Arabidopsis thaliana: one gene and its partner. The protein of the gene in region 2 interacts with the protein of the main gene of each other region in a pairwise test. Each region holds a gene or a part of one and is shown on either strand. Other genes may lie near its edges.

Region 1 (8,085 bases), on a different chromosome or scaffold from region 2:
GGTATGATTCCGATAAAACCGACTAAATATTTGTTTGGGAATTTTCAGACTAGTCACAATGTTTACTTTGGCAGCACACGGATTTCAAACGAATTGGGAGCGGGAAATCCGGAGGTTGCTAGGCTGGCAGTGTTTGCCGGTATTTTCCTTTGGTTCCTAGAGGCTACCATTTGTAGCACACTTCTGTTCACTTGCAAAAATATTTTTGGCTACGCGTTCAGCAATAGCAAAGAAGTTGTGGACTATGTCACGGAGCTATCTTCGCTGCTTTGTCTTTCATTTATGGTCGATGGATTTTCTTCAGTGCTTGATGGTATTAAGATCAAACCCTTCAATTAGTGAATGATAAAAAATCCTATCTCGCGACTCAAATATGACTTTTATGAAAAAGGGGTTGCTAGGGGAAGTGGGTGGCAAAATATTGGAGCTTGGGCAAATGTGGTGGCTTACTATCTCCTAGGAGCTCCTGTTGGATTTTTCTTAGGATTTTGGGGTCATATGAACGGCAAAGGGCTATGGATTGGTGTGATCGTTGGGTCCACTGCTCAAGGGATCATACTAGCTATAGTCACTGCTTGCCTGAGTTGGGAGGAGCAGGTCAATAGCAATCTTAAATATATTTTTGGACATTTGATGAATCTTTTTTTTACCCCATACTGAAGTTGTTTACAATTGGAAATTGCAGGCTGCCAAGGCCAGAGAAAGAATAGTTGGAAGAACATTGGAGTGAAAATCACACACTTTTAAACGTAACTGATATAGTTGTACTCCTTCCGTTTAGTATACACGAAATATAGAAGAATACATGGTCACACATGCCAAATATACACGAATAAATGTAAGTTTAAGGTTTTCACACACGTATTAAAAAACAAATAAATTTATTAGCTTAAACTTTGTCAATATATTTTCTATAAAGTTATTGATCAATACATTAAATCCGTGGGATAAAGCTGTAATGTATCAAACAATTGCATTGAAAATATAAAACAATATATATTTTAAAATAAATTTTTTTTTTAAAAATGACACTTAATCTTGTATGCGTTTTATCTTTCTAATGATTAAATATCTATGTATAAGTTTAACATCAAGTAAAAATTTGAGTGACTAATTTATGTTTGATTGGATTTTCCACAGTTTATCTTATAAACTGAACTCTCATATGGCTAAGATATTTTACTTTCTTTCATTTAACAGTTACGGGGCGATTGAATGTTCTTTTAACAAGGTCTGATTTGAACGGACATTAGTTTTGTTTATACAACAATGTGTTTCTCTATATACAGAATATAACTTATATATAGTAAATTGTTTATGTTGATCCCAGTAAAAAAAGATAAAAAGAGAAGAGATGGTGCTACTGAGGAACCAAGAAAGAACTGGAAGTCAACAATCAACTCATACTCATGTGTCTCTCCTTTTTAATGAGAGTGACTAACCAACGATTTAAAATAAATAAAAAGAGTGGTTCAAATGTAAATAATTCAAACTACTAAGACTTGGTGGAATTCATGTGAAGGAGACAAAAGTTCAATCTCATGGAGAAACAGAATTCCATTGAAGAAGAAAAAATGTGAATAACCCTAACTTTTAGAATGCTGACCTAATTAATGCACTTAATCAGCTTCGTAAACAGTTTCTACTTGTGAATTCTTGCCAACTTTTCGAGAACACCAGGATATATAGTTGAGAATAATGCTAGCAAATCGTCTAAAAGTTTCTAGAGTACATATCTAGATTCGTCTTAATAATGCTAAATATTTATCTTCAACAACATTGTTTTCATTTTTCAATACAATAAAGTTGAATTAAAATCATTTTTTTAATCTACTAAGACTGTAATTTAACAATATTTTTAAACATATTGTACTGGTTTAGAGGCGATTTATCTTGTTGGAAAAGAAGTTTGGAAGATTCTGTCTTGAGTTCCATTTCATTAAAACAAAGTCATCACATTTCTGGTATGTGAGACGAAGCTATGGTCCATGATTAACCCTCTATGATAGATTATGATAGATGTAGGGGAGTGATTTAGCACCACTCAGTTAACTCGACTCTAACCTCAATAAACAAAACCTTCGAAATGTTTTGTCGGGCTCGGCACATTTAGCGTGAAAATGAGTTTTTTTTGTGTGAAAATAGATAGATCGAGATTGACTTAACATAAAATGGAAAGATTGACTCGAAAATACTTTCAATATCATCAATATTGAGGAGGAGAAAAGAAAAAAATACCGAAGATAAAAATTTTGGAAGGAAAACATATTCGAAGACCTAGATGGAGAAGTATAAATACAAATGAGCAGTCGCAAAGTGGGGCATCCACAATTCGTCTCTAAAGATCCCTAGACATCCAAATTCACAAGAAAAAAAAAACTAACTTGTTATCAAAGTTAGTTCAATCTCTTTGTAATTGTATCAGTTCGTTCTTGAGCTTAATAAATAAAATTATTTCCGCGACACTACTTCCCTTAATTAAGCTTGCCGGTTTATATGTGCAGATTTGACTCACACAATAGACATTAGACAATATAGTATGTTTTTGAAATATATTTTTTGAGGTTATTTCATGATAAGTAATACTGCAAAATATAAATTTTTCAAACATAAATTTATACATTGAACCTCATATCTATTTGTTTCTATTATTTAATTTATTTTAATGACAATGTGTTCTATACTATATTTAAATTTTAGTAAATAATTTTCTTAAATTATATAATTTTTCAATACTTTCTTAATAAACTTCTAGATGTGAAATAGTTTTATAAAAAAAAAAATACATATTCTGGTTATATTTTTTCATATAGAAAAGAAATGGTGTGATTCATATTTTTTCAAGTTTTCTAAGAAATCAAATAATGAGTAAGTCAACAAATAAAATCTCATATAGTGGCTAAGAACTTGAAGTCATTTAGTGAGAAGGAAACCAATAAAAAAATTTACCTATAAATTAAAGGGCAATTAAATGTAAGAACAGTTTAAATAATTAAAAATTATTAACTAAAGTAATGAATCTATTAATTAATTGAAAATAAATATATGTGAAAGAATATTTGTACAAAAAAGCAAATAAAATATCTAGTAGATATATTTCTGAAATAAGTATTTAGAAATTTAATTTTTTGTTTTACTTGATTTTTCAAAATTTTATACCAAAATACAATTTATTTTAATCTTATAATTTTATTTCTAATCAAGGTGTTCCAATTTCATTTCGCTAAATGTTATAGAACCGATCCCAATACGAACGCGAACCTCACTTATCAGCTCTCAATCTCTCAACTCGAAGTTTGTTTGTGTGAATCAAAGAAGAAACAGAGAACAACACACAAGAATTTGTTACCCAGTTCAATCTAATCTGTGTGATTAGATCTACGTCTGGAGCCAGATAGATCCGGCAATCCACTATATGAGATGTTTACAAACTTCTCTGAGCTCAATACAAGATCAATGAAGAACCCTAATTTTCTGGGTTTAAGAGAGATCGTAACAACTTTCTAACGGAATGAAGAAGAAGAAGATAACAGACTTCTATTTATATGTGTTTGACTTCGAGCATCGAAGCCTCTTTCAGAATGAGAGTCTTCCAATCATAACTTCCTTCTTCTGTAAACCAAAGCGAACCGTTTCAATAACCAACTCCAATCTGCTGTTAAACCGAATGTCATCAGACCAACATTAAACCGGAATTGGATCATATTCATAACATTATATCAAACAAGGAAAAAAAAACTATTCACTATTGTCGGCAATAATTAACTTTTTGAAAAATCGAAACAACAAGGCCACCACGTCTACAAAAATCAGAAACCAATTCATGCACATGATATATGTGTTTAATAAATATAATTTATATGGACCCTCTTAATAATATAATTTATATGGAGCATTTATTATTATGGGTACATCATATCATATCTGTTTTTACCTTAATAAATAGAATAACATTTTTTTCTGTGACACACATTGAAGAGAGAAAACTATTTGTCCCACAGTCAATTACGGGTCTAAAATTTGGTAGTAACAATAATACTTTCATATGCATATCTTAACATGAGAAAAAAATGTTTTCACTGGTCGAGCAGAGTTATATATATATTTAGATATTGACGAAAAGTCTTCATTGACAATAAATTACATTGGTTTCGTCCATCAGTACAAGATTGGATATGATCTAAAAAATCAGAGGCAAATCAATCAAGATTAAGAAGACGACAATGGAAGAGCCATTTCTTCCGAGAGACGAGCAGTTAGTCTCTTGTAAATCCACATGGCAAAGTGGTCAGGTCACCGTCGAGCTGAAGAAAGTGAGCCGCTTGGCCGCTCCTATGGCCACCGTAACCATAGCTCAGTACTTATTGCCTGTCATCTCAGTCATGGTCGCCGGCCACATCGGCGAGTTGGAGCTCGCCGGTGTCGCGCTTGCCACGTCTTTCACAAACGTTTCCGGCTTCAGCATAATGGTAATTATGCTATTACTCTCTCCTCTTCATTTCAAGAACTCAATTAACTTTCCAATATTGAAATATTGCTGCATTCTTTTTTGTGTAGTTTGGGTTAGTTGGTGCATTGGAAACTCTTTGTGGCCAAGCCTATGGAGCAGAACAATACGAAAAAATCGGAACCTATACATACTCTGCAATGGCTTCCAACATACCAATTTGTTTCATCATATCAATTCTATGGATTTACATCGAAAAGCTCTTGATCACTCTCGGGCAAGAGCCTGACATCTCTAGAGTCGCTGGCTCCTACTCATTGTGGCTCGTACCGGCTTTGTTTGCCCATGCTATTTTCTTACCACTGACTCGGTTTCTGCTAGCACAAGGGTTGGTTATTTCCCTGCTATACTCTGCCATGACCACCCTTTTGTTCCATATTGCGGTTTGCTGGACTTTGGTTTTCGCGCTTGGTCTTGGAAGCAATGGAGCTGCTATTGCTATTAGTTTGTCTTTCTGGTTTTACGCTGTGATACTCTCATGTCATGTGAGATTTTTCAGCTCTTGCGAGAAGACTCGCGGATTTGTATCAAATGATTTTATGTCTAGTATCAAGCAGTACTTCCAGTACGGAGTCCCATCCGCTGGATTGATTTGGTAAGTAAACCATTTTCACGTGTCTTGTTGGTTAAGTTACAATACACCGATGCTTCCTCTTATCTTGCTTGCATTTTTTTGTCTTCTTTGATAGCTTAGAATGGTGGCTGTTTGAGCTACTCATACTCTGCTCAGGTCTTCTCCCAAACCCAAAACTCGAGACATCTGTTCTTTCGATTTGGTAAGTATCATATTACTTCTTTTTATCCTATGTGTTCTCTTTACCAAAATGTATTAATCTTATGTCTTTCATGTTATCAGTCTTACAATAGGAACTTTACACTATGTGATTCCATCTGGAGTCGCGGCGGCTGTGAGGTATGATCTCAACTCTCAAACCAGAACAAGTGTTCAACAATTCCTTTCTCAACATTAGTCATTTGGTTTCTTGAAGCACACGAGTGTCAAACAAATTGGGAGCTGGAAATCCTCAAGTTGCTAGGGTTTCCGTATTGGCAGGGCTTTGTCTCTGGCTTGTAGAGTCAGCTTTCTTTAGCACACTTCTCTTCACCTGCCGAAACATCATAGGCTACACATTCAGCAACAGCAAAGAAGTTGTTGACTATGTTGCTGACATATCTCCTTTGCTCTGTCTCTCCTTCATCCTCGACGGATTAACGGCAGTTCTAAATGGAGTGGCTAGGGGATGTGGGTGGCAACACATTGGAGCTTTGATCAACGTGGTGGCTTATTATCTTGTAGGAGCTCCTGTTGGAGTTTACTTAGCTTTCAGTCGTGAGTGGAATGGAAAAGGACTCTGGTGCGGTGTTATGGTTGGATCCGCGGTGCAAGCCACTTTACTGGCTATCGTCACAGCCTCCATGAACTGGAAGGAACAGGTTAGAGTTTGTTACATTCTAGTTTTTTGAATGCTCTGAAGTAACTGGACTCTATTATTTGCAGGCTGAGAAAGCAAGGAAGAGAATAATCTCTACTGAAAATGGATTGGTTTAAATAAAGGTTGTTCCTAAGAGCTATCTCAAAGTATTTGCAAGTCATGTGCAAAAAAACATGTAATGTTATTTTGATGGGTTATAATATTTTTTTGTAAAACTTTTATCCAGGATTTATACATTTTTTCTTGAGTTGATATTTTCGTTAGTTAGAAAAATTATTCGAATTGCACATGCTGAAAGATGATTTATTTATTTTCTTCAAACTTTAATATACAAATGTAACAAGTAAATAAAAACTCATTAGTTCCAAACACCATGGGATTAAAAATGGCCTCAGCTGCAATCAGTCCTATCTTTATAAAAAACAACTATGTGAGTCCTATCCATTATCCCAATAAGTCCACTAAAAATGGCCTGTATGGCACAACCAGATTTAACACTTAGTATTAACTTTAAAATTCACAAAAGAAAATAATCTCTCTTATATATGGTCCAAACATAATAACTTTACACTAATGATCCATAAGAGTTTTCACATACATGTTTCTTGACGTAAATCATTAAAAATATATAGATGAAAAATACTTATAGAAGATTCAAATTCCACATAGTCCACTAATGTTATGTCATTTAATTAGTAGGTTTAGTGGTGAAAACTTAATACGAATTCCTACCTTTTTATCAGCCTCAGCTGCACGTTTGAACTGTCTAGTTGTTATTTAAACCAAAAAAATGTTTTTGTTAATTAAGACATTTTTCCTTTTTAATATAAACTGTTAAAACAAACTGTCTCTTTTTTTTTTGTAACAATGTCATTATCTTTTGTTTAATCTATGATATGATTAGAACTTGATTCCCAAGTAATTATTCGAGTTGCCTTTGTTGTTTAGTCATAGATCATTGGAACGTGATCCCCAAGTGTATTATCATGTATTTCCAAAATGCTGATATTGGACGACTGTTGAGTGTTGACGACGACGTCCACCATTTGTATTTCAAAATGACCGAATTGTCTCTTTTGTTTGTCTTTGTTATTAGGTTATTGTGATATCTGACTTTTATGGAAGTAATAAAAAGTTTAATATACATGACTTTTATAACAGTTTTATAAAACTGTTATAACTTGTGAAGTTGTTAGAAGATTTTGTCATTTGCAAAAAACATGATGTATGTTCCTTTAACAATAAAAAACATGATGTATGTTCACCTTAAAAAAAACTATTGTTTTCCGGAAACTTATTAAGAGAAACTATACAACGTCATTGCTGAAAACTTTGATGTATAAACTTTAGTAATACTTTATACTTTATCATGTAGACTTTTATAATATACTTTTTGAGGATCTTCGTGGAAAATATAGAATTCCACTGGTCGAGCTAAGAGTCATGTAATTTGAATATTCTATTCCCACAATTTCCAAAAAAGAAAAGTCTACGTTGACATTGACATTGGTTTCGTCGTCTGTCTAGTGTCTATAAAAGATGGAAGAATGTCCGCATAAATTATAGACAATTAAAGTACTAGACAAGGCTTTCAACACAAAACAATAACAAACAAAAAATAAGGACAAAAAAAAAATTAACAACCTAAAACAATGGAAGAGCCATTTCTTCCGCAAGATGAGCAGATAGTCCCCTGTAAAGCCACATGGAAAAGTGGTCAGCTCAATGTCGAGCTGAAGAAAGTGAGCCGCTTGGCTGTTCCTATGGCCACCGTGACCATTGCACAGTACTTATTGCCAGTCATCTCAGTCATGGTCGCTGGCCACAACGGCGAGCTCCAGCTCTCCGGTGTCGCTCTTGCTACCTCCTTCACAAATGTCTCCGGTTTCAGCATTATGGTAATTATGTTATGACTACTCTCTCCTCTTATGTTCAAAATCAAGTTGACTCTGAAATCTTGATAAATACTTCAATTCTTTGTGCAGTTTGGGTTAGTGGGTTCACTAGAAACTCTTTCTGGCCAAGCTTATGGAGCCAAACAATACGAAAAAATGGGAACCTATACATACTCCGCAATTTCCTCTAACATCCCTATATGTGTCCTCATATCAATTCTCTGGATATACATGGAAAAACTCTTGATCT
Region 2 (8,472 bases):
AAGTTAGTATAATTTTTTTTTTGCAAATTGAATCTATATATAATATATTTTTATTTTATAGTTTACAATTGTTATTAAGTAACGTCCTGCCAAACCCGTCCCGCCAAACCCGTCCCGTAAAAAAACTATTTATTTATATTAATGTTGATCTTATTTATGATATGTTTATAAATCATTGTCTAAATATTTTTGTCGATGCGGGACGTTGAACCCACACATTTTTTGCTAATTTGTTAATATATGTTTATTTTTAAAATTTTGAATTATAAAATATGACGGAAAAAATTAAGATTTTTTTAAAATTCTATATATTATATAATGATGTTAAAAAATTGTAATATATCGAACTTTTTATAAGTTTAAATATTAATAATGTTTTATAAATTTTAAATATATAAATAATAATATTTAAAAAAATTAATATTTTTGCTTATAAGGTAATGACATAATAACTCTAAAAGCAAGGATTTAGAAGATTTAAATCTTTAATTAAATATTTTCATTAATAAATAATTAATGTCAGTGACATGACATATTAAATAAGTTCAAATACAAAATTTATTTATTTAAACAAAAAACGTTCAGTAAAAATAATATTTATTTAACAAAAAAATTTGTTTTAAAATATTGTTAGCAAATATGTTTATGCTAATTTTAAAGGATTGATTTGAAGTTTGGTGGGATTAAATTTGATTGATAATGTGATTGACAATTTAAATCAAAAATTTAAAATAAAATTAATTATTTTTAAAAAAAGATTTAATGCTAATGACATTAGATTGTAAATAAGTCCAAGTTCATGATTTATTTGCTAAAATAGCTGTAAAAATGTATATATAGATTTGTTCATCTATTTCTTTAATATTTTTGTAAAGATAAGTGACTCATAAATCGCACTAGTAGATTACGTTAATTGAGCAAATACAAATATTTGGCGATGTCCATATACTAGCACCTAAGAAGTAAAGTCCTTGTATTCGTATTACGTTAATATTTCAATTTTTAATGTTAATTTGAAATCATCCCGAAGAATCCAGAGATCTTGAACGTTGAGTATGTGGTTTTTAATTTTTAATCAGTGGTAAATATTTGTGAACCACAAAAAGTAAAAAGTCCATGTCTAGTTTTTGAATTGTTAACTGTTCATATTACGAAGTTGTTTATATAAAATACCAAAAAAAGGAGATATTTTAGAATATCTCATATGGTTTTTGTTCACATACATTTTCTTTGTTTTTGCTTGTTCTATCTCTCTGTCTTTAATGCCGTTCTCGACTCTCGAACCGATCAAGCGTTGCACTAACATGTGCCTTCGCTGACCGATAGAGCTACAAGAGTTAGGCACCACAATCTCATCTTTTAACACTAAACTAACAATACAAGATAAAGTAACATATATCTGAATAAAGACAATTTATATGTATAATAAACTAGTGTACTGGAAAGAAACGTTTAACATAAGTACATAACATATGATTATATTTAATGATGCTGAGAACAAAAGATACTTAGGAATAAATCTAATGTTCATCGTTATAAGTTATAACACAAAGCATTAAAAAAAAACGTTATACTTAAGTCCCAAATTTTGGATCTAACCATTAAGGTTGCTCTTAGAACACATAATATTCTCTGTTGTTACCTTGTTCTCTATCTGCTTTGATCAAGCTTCGTCATCACGTTGCGCACTAATGTGCAATCGTAGACCAACGGGCTACAAAAGCCAGGTGCCTCAATTGCTAAATTAGATGAATCTGAACATTTTTGTCAAGGAATTTAGGAAAAGTGACAAGAAAAGCAATATTAAATCCTATCCATATCCATTGAATTGAATGCATTTAAAAATTTAGAAGTTTTAAGATTTCAATTCTCCAATGACGAATCTATAAACTATCTCCTTTCTTTATATGTAATGTTTATAAACTATCTTCTTTATTTTATTACTTTGTTTTTGTTAAAGATATATTACCAATTTTAGTTATTATTGTCTGCTTCTCAGCTACAAAATTGTTTTCCTAATAAAGAATTAAAGATCTTATCCAATGTCCACACGTTTAGTATTTTTCTCCATCTACACAAAAAAAAGAAAAGAAAAGAAAAAGATATTTTAGAATATCTCACATGTGAAATGATCATGATCAACTTCTCTCTCTGTCTCTTCCATGCCTTGCTCGAGCATCGAACCTACCAAGCGTTGCACATTAATGTGCCTTCGCTGGCCAGGAGAGCTACAAGAGCTTGGCGCTGTCTCTGCAGCACATAGCTAATTTAAAGTTGATTCGTCAAATCCAGCAAACTTAGTTATAGAATAAAACATTTTTTGGCGTTTTGCCAAGGAAAAAAAAGGGGATTAGTTGGCTTCAAATAAACCAAAATTAGCTAAATGTTCATAGAGTAAATAAGTGAATGATCAACAGATAATATCATTATGCATGGAGTATGATCAAGAATACAGACTGAAAATTTATATTTACTCAAAATGAAACAATAAATAATACTGTCGAAATGAAATTTGATGCTAAACTAAGAAGTATATAATGAAGAAAACAAGTATTATCGCTAGTTAATTTTTATATGATTATGGTGTTAAAAAATAAAAATAAAAGTATATAAACACAAATATTGTATATTTTCGTGAAAATTTTAAAAGAAAAATGTTCTAAATTCTAGATTTCTTAGGTTGTCTGCTAAAATAATGTTAGCAGGTTTCTTAAAACCAAAAAAAAATTCATAAAATTTACTTGAAAGCATGATGATAGCTACTAAAAAAAATTCATAAAAAGATATTTAAAAATACCTTAAATGTTTATCTTTATATAACAACAAGACCTCTGCTGCTGCTATGCTTTCACTGGCTCTCTCTTTTCTCTTTTCGCCCAGCTCGAGCTTCGAACTAATCACACGTTGCACATTAATGTACCATCGCAGACCAGTGCGCTACAAGAGCCGGGCGCCAAAGTTACAACTTTTTACTAACTTAAAAACCTTTGGTCACCTATATAATAACTTCAATAATTCTTTTCTATTTTTGAGTCAAAAACATAATTCACTCCAACAGTAGTAGTAATTACTAGAGTTTCTTTGAGTTTTTTTTAATAATACAACAATTAACTTTACCATTTTATCTTTTTGAAAAAAGGTTTACCATTTTTTACTTCTTGTAGAGTTGTAGTAGTATTATCATAGTATGGTGCATGTGTGTTACTGTGTTAGGTGTGTATTGTTTTGTATATACGAAATAAATGTTTGGAGGCTTGGAAAATTTTTCAAGGAAAAAAAAATCACATCCATATGACCATATCTATTAATGAGCAACACTCATTTCATCATATAGATGCCGAGTGATCATTTAATACACTGTAAGAAAATTTAAAGCTTTCTGATTCCAAAATTCTCAAATCTTTTTATTACAGTGTCTTTCATATTCACTTTCTTACAAAGATTATTATTACCAAATTTAGTTACATGTCTGCTGCTGAGTTTCAAATAAATTATTGTCTTAATAAAGATCTTATCCTATCTCCACACACGTTTCCTCCTTTTTATTTCTCACTTTCAAGCTTAGAAAGAATATTCTTGTTCGATTTTTTTTCTCCCGAACATGATCTTTCAATCTCAACGACGATTTCTCAGTGACTAATACTACATTTGTATACATTCTTCATCATCATCATCATCATCATCTGTGTTTTTGTTCATATTCATTTTTCAGTTATCGTTTTCAATTTTTAAAACTTTTTTTCTTGGGTTTCACAAAATTTGTCGTTAATCGATGAATTTGATTGTTTTCAAGATCACCCATCTCTCGAATTCACGAAATCTCTCAGCTTTTCCGTGATTCTTGGTAAAAATTCACAAAATCGAAATTGGAGAAAGAAAGAAAAAATTAGGGTTTGAGGAAAAGCTTCGATTTTTCACACGATGAGTCATCACCGGCGAGATTCCGGCGGAGATGTAGTTCACGTGATTCCCACAAACAATCCTCCGCCGGATAATTGGTTTCCGAATCTCGGCGATAGTGCTGTTTGGGCGACGGAAGATGATTACAATAGAGCTTGGGCTATGAATCCCGATAACACCTCCGGCGACAACAATGGTCCACCGAACAAGAAGACTCGAGGCTCTCCGTCGTCTTCATCAGCCACGACTACTTCTGCTGCGAGCAATCGTACTAAAGCGATTGGGAAAATGTTCTTCAAGACGAAGCTTTGTTGCAAGTTTCGTGCTGGGACTTGTCCGTATATAACGAATTGTAACTTTGCTCATACGGTGGAGGAGCTTCGTCGTCCACCGCCGAATTGGCAGGAGATTGTGGCGGCTCATGAGGAGGAGAGATCTGGTGGTATGGGAACTCCTACAGTTTCTGTGGTTGAGATTCCACGGGAGGAGTTTCAGATCCCGTCTTTGGTGTCATCGACGGCTGAGAGTGGGAGATCTTTTAAAGGAAGACATTGTAAGAAGTTTTATACTGAAGAAGGATGTCCTTATGGAGAAAGTTGTACGTTTCTGCATGATGAGGCTTCGAGGAATAGAGAGAGTGTTGCTATTAGCTTAGGACCTGGTGGTTATGGAAGTGGTGGTGGTGGTGGAAGTGGCGGTGGTTCTGTTGGTGGTGGTGGTAGTAGTAGCAATGTAGTAGTGCTTGGTGGTGGTGGTGGAAGTGGAAGTGGAAGTGGGATTCAGATTTTGAAGCCTTCAAATTGGAAGACAAGGATTTGCAACAAATGGGAGATTACTGGGTATTGTCCATTTGGTGCTAAGTGTCATTTTGCTCATGGAGCTGCAGGTAAAGATTCTGCCTTTTGTTCGATTTCGTTTGCTTTATGAATGGAATGGTTAGGCCTGAAGATAAGGACGGGATTGAGTTCATAGGTCTCTAGTGGTTAGCCAAGTTTTTAGTGACTTCTCGTATGTTAGTTTAAACTTTAAACCAATGTTGCTTGATGAATGGGTTAAAGGTGACTAGAGATTGGACGCTGAAGCTCCAAGCTGAGTAAAATGGTTATTCGCTTATTCGCTGACCCTGTCGGGTTCTGTATCTTATGACACCGCTATCTTTGGGTTTTTGTTGGTCTGTGGTTACCATTTAGTCTGTTAGGTTATTTGTTAGAAGTTTTAGTCAACGGTGCTTCATGGTTAGACTAGTGAGAATGGTACTAAAGGTTATATAGGAGACTAACTAATGGATTGAGTGCTTATATCAGTTGAGCTCGCCGCAGGAGTACTGATAAACATTCATTTTTGGTCTGGTATTGTAATGAATCTGACGAGTTGTTGAATCTTAGGATAGAGTTATAGGTTTCTCGAATTCTCAAAATTTTGATAGATAATCTGTCTTACATTTGTGAAAAATGTTGAATCTTTGATAGTTTCTTATGGGAAACAATTTCTTAGAATTGTTGAACGATATGACCTTAGAAAGTTCCGTAGTCGTGTAGCTTTAAAGTTTTGAGTCTTTATGATTTGCAGAGTTACATAGATTTGGCGGAGGACTCGTGGAAGAAGAAGGCAAAGATGGAGTATCACCCAATCCGGACACAAAGCAAACAGTACAAAACCCCAAAGGACTATCAGACACAACAACACTTCTATCTCCAGGAGTACCTCATAATGCAGATGCCAGTTACCACACTGGAGTTGCATTGCAACGAGCGTCTAGTGCGGTTACACAAAAGCCTGGAATTAGAACTCATCAGAAGTGGAAAGGACCGGCGAAAATCAGTCGGATATACGGTGATTGGATCGACGATATTGAATGATGTTACCTCTTTCTTTTTTCTACACATTTAGATAACTGCTAAGAAAATTACAATCTCCCTTTTTTTGCATGGTACATTTTGTAGAGTTTGTATATGTGTAATCCTTGTATCTGTTGTTGTTGTTGTTTGTTGTTGTAGATTATGACTTATGTTATATTATCATCTTTCTTTTGTATCTTTTCCATATTTGATTTTTTAAAAATTTCATAATTTGATTATAAAGCCACAATTTTTTTTAATCATAACTAGAAGATCGATCACCGTAAAACTAGAATGTAGAATTAGATTAGAGCAAATTAATTGGCCACGAAGATAACACGTAGCTTTTGTCACCAAAGACTCGCTCAAAACTCTAAAAGCTTTGGCATATGTATGACCTTACCTTTCTCCTCATTTCTCTCTTCCCCATTGACATTACCCTTCCCACACGGCAACCTCAGAATAAACCCTTTCTTCTTCCTCAAGCTACCTATGAAACCAGTCACAATATTTCTGATCCGGCCGTTTCACTGCACGGTCTCAAAATGTCTATATCCACGACCGAGACAGACAATTTCAAACCAGTCCATACCCTCGTTTCCTCCCCGGTCACCATAGTCTTGACCGGTAGTCTTCTCTTCATCATTTTCACGGGGTTCTTCTCCTTCTTCTTCTGTGGATGTTTATTTAGGAAACTCATGAGGATTTGGAATAACCATCGAAACCGAAACCGTCCTAGTAACCTAATCCAACCGTCTAATCCACCTGAAAACCTCGGTCTCGACTCCAAGATCATTGAATCATTCCCTGAGTATCCTTATTCGGTGAAAGATCATGGGACGGATCAATGTTCCATTTGTTTAACAGAGTTTATGGATGATGACACTATTAGGCTCATTTCTACTTGTAATCACTCCTTCCACACGATTTGCATTGATCTTTGGTTTGAAGGACACAAGACTTGCCCTGTATGCAGGCGTGAGCTTGATGTAGAAGACCGGACATCGCTAGAAAAGCCGCTAGAAGTTCCTGAAATCGATCTAGTTAGATCTGAAATCCACGACGAGCCTTTGCCCCGTGACACAGTGACAATCATCGTTCACGAGGAGCATCCTAGTACTACTATTGGTAGTTTAGAGCATACAGATGAAATCGAAAGCTATGAAAGACGAATGAAAGCATCGAATTTGCGGTTTTGGAGGTCACATTCTACTGGACACTCTATAGTAGTTAAGACCGAAAACGAACAAGAAGAAGAAGAAGAAGAAGAAAAAGATGAGATTAAGATACGTATTGAGATCTCTGGAGAATGTCAGTTTGAAGATCACAAGATGACTTTACCAAACAGAAAGTTGTATTGCGTTAGGGGAACTTACTCTGTAGGATAGAGCCTGAGAATGTGAATTGTCTTGGTTGATATATCATCTATAATAGATCCAAGACCGGAATTAGATTCTAGGTTTTGATATATTCTTTGTTTCGGCCGTTCCATTTTTGTAATTTTTTGACACTATAGGTTATAGTTATACATATAGAAGATGTTGAAGATTGTTGTAATGTTTGTACTTAAATTCTCATTATTCAGTACCAATCATACTTTCCTTTTTTCATTTGTGGACTTCATAAAATTCTAAAAATATTTTTAAATATATGTCTTATATATATAACATAAAAAATTAAGTTGCATTTTATCGTTCCGGTTTGATATGGGAGGTGTCAATTTGATAGAAATAGAAATATTGGGAATAACGTGATATAAATCAATAGAATAGGGGAACGACTAAGAGTTTATAATATTACAATGTAAGACCTATATTTTACCATTTGTTAAAAAAAGAGAACCAACCAAACTTGGAGAGAGAAATGGCGACGGCATCGGAAAATTCAAGAGGAATCAGCGGCGGTGATCGAACGGCGAAAGCTGTCGTCGCCGATCAGATTTCACAAGCCGTAAATTCCACTGCTAACCTTCTTCATCTGATGCGTCAATCGTCTTCTTCTCAGGTATATCTTCTTCAAACCCTTTTAACGCGTGCTCATTTAGTCACCGTTGGATTAAATAGGATCTAGGTTGAATAATTAGGGTTTGGTTTGATTCTGATGATAGAAAATGTGGATTTGGTGAATTGTTTCAAACATAGGTGCAACAGTTTCGTAGTTGTCCTATTTCATTGGAAACTAGTTATCTCCTCCTGTTTCATGTAATAAGACCACAATGAAACACAATGTGAGGTTATTAGGATGAGCTTTAGATGTTTTTTTTTTAATCTCTAATTATGAGTATTCGCTGTGTGTAGGCTCAGTTGGCAAAGCTCCCGAAGAATCTGTTGGCGAAAGCTTCACTGACTAAGGCCACTGGACAGGTATGTATGTTATGGTGTAGAATGTATGATGACATAAGTAAGTACTGTGTGTCTTAAGCATTTTTTTTTACATTTTGTTAAGGCGTTGGCGCAGCTTCCTCAAGTGATTTCATCTCTAGATGCTCATATAGAAAGCGGATTGCACAGGTTTGATCTTCTTTGACATGCACTCATCATCAAATCTTGTATCACTTAGAGTTGAATTTTAATAGATAGCTTTAAGAACAATGAATGAGAAATGTGATAAGAGAATACTACTCCCTTTGATGATGAAGAATGTTTGTAGCTGTTGTGTTCTCTAACCCTAAGTTTCGTTTTCTCGATACAGCGGTGTTCATCTAAACACAGTAACCCAGTTACTTGAAAACATG

What was found. Proteins that work in one complex are often made in the same cells at the same time.
Region 1: the proteins of AT1G32360 (region 2) and AT2G04080 interact in a protein complementation assay, tested with the Arabidopsis thaliana proteins (one large-scale study listed by BioGRID).

Annotation. Positions count from the first base shown.
Region 1 is NC_003071.7:1,355,298-1,363,382, reverse strand, and holds AT2G04080 (MATE efflux family protein), read left to right. Parts: upstream 1-3,979; 5' UTR 3,980-4,223; coding exon 4,224-4,469; intron 4,470-4,557; coding exon 4,558-5,102; intron 5,103-5,196; coding exon 5,197-5,283; intron 5,284-5,363; coding exon 5,364-5,420; intron 5,421-5,496; coding exon 5,497-5,941; coding exon of another isoform or gene 5,942-5,971; exon of another isoform or gene 5,972-6,005; coding exon 6,006-6,056; 3' UTR 6,057-6,227; downstream 6,228-8,085. Other genes in the region: AT2G04090 (MATE efflux family protein), read left to right, coding at 1-1, 75-313, 392-597, 686-730; AT2G04070 (MATE efflux family protein), read left to right, coding at 7,593-7,838, 7,926-8,085.
Region 2 is NC_003070.9:11,669,404-11,677,875, forward strand, and holds AT1G32360 (Zinc finger (CCCH-type) family protein), read left to right. Parts: upstream 1-3,362; 5' UTR 3,363-3,921; coding exon 3,922-4,786; intron 4,787-5,469; coding exon 5,470-5,759; 3' UTR 5,760-5,984; downstream 5,985-8,472. Other genes in the region: ATL1F (RING/U-box superfamily protein), read left to right, coding at 6,128-7,126; TOM2B (tobamovirus multiplication 2B), read left to right, coding at 7,602-7,742, 8,036-8,101, 8,184-8,248, 8,430-8,472.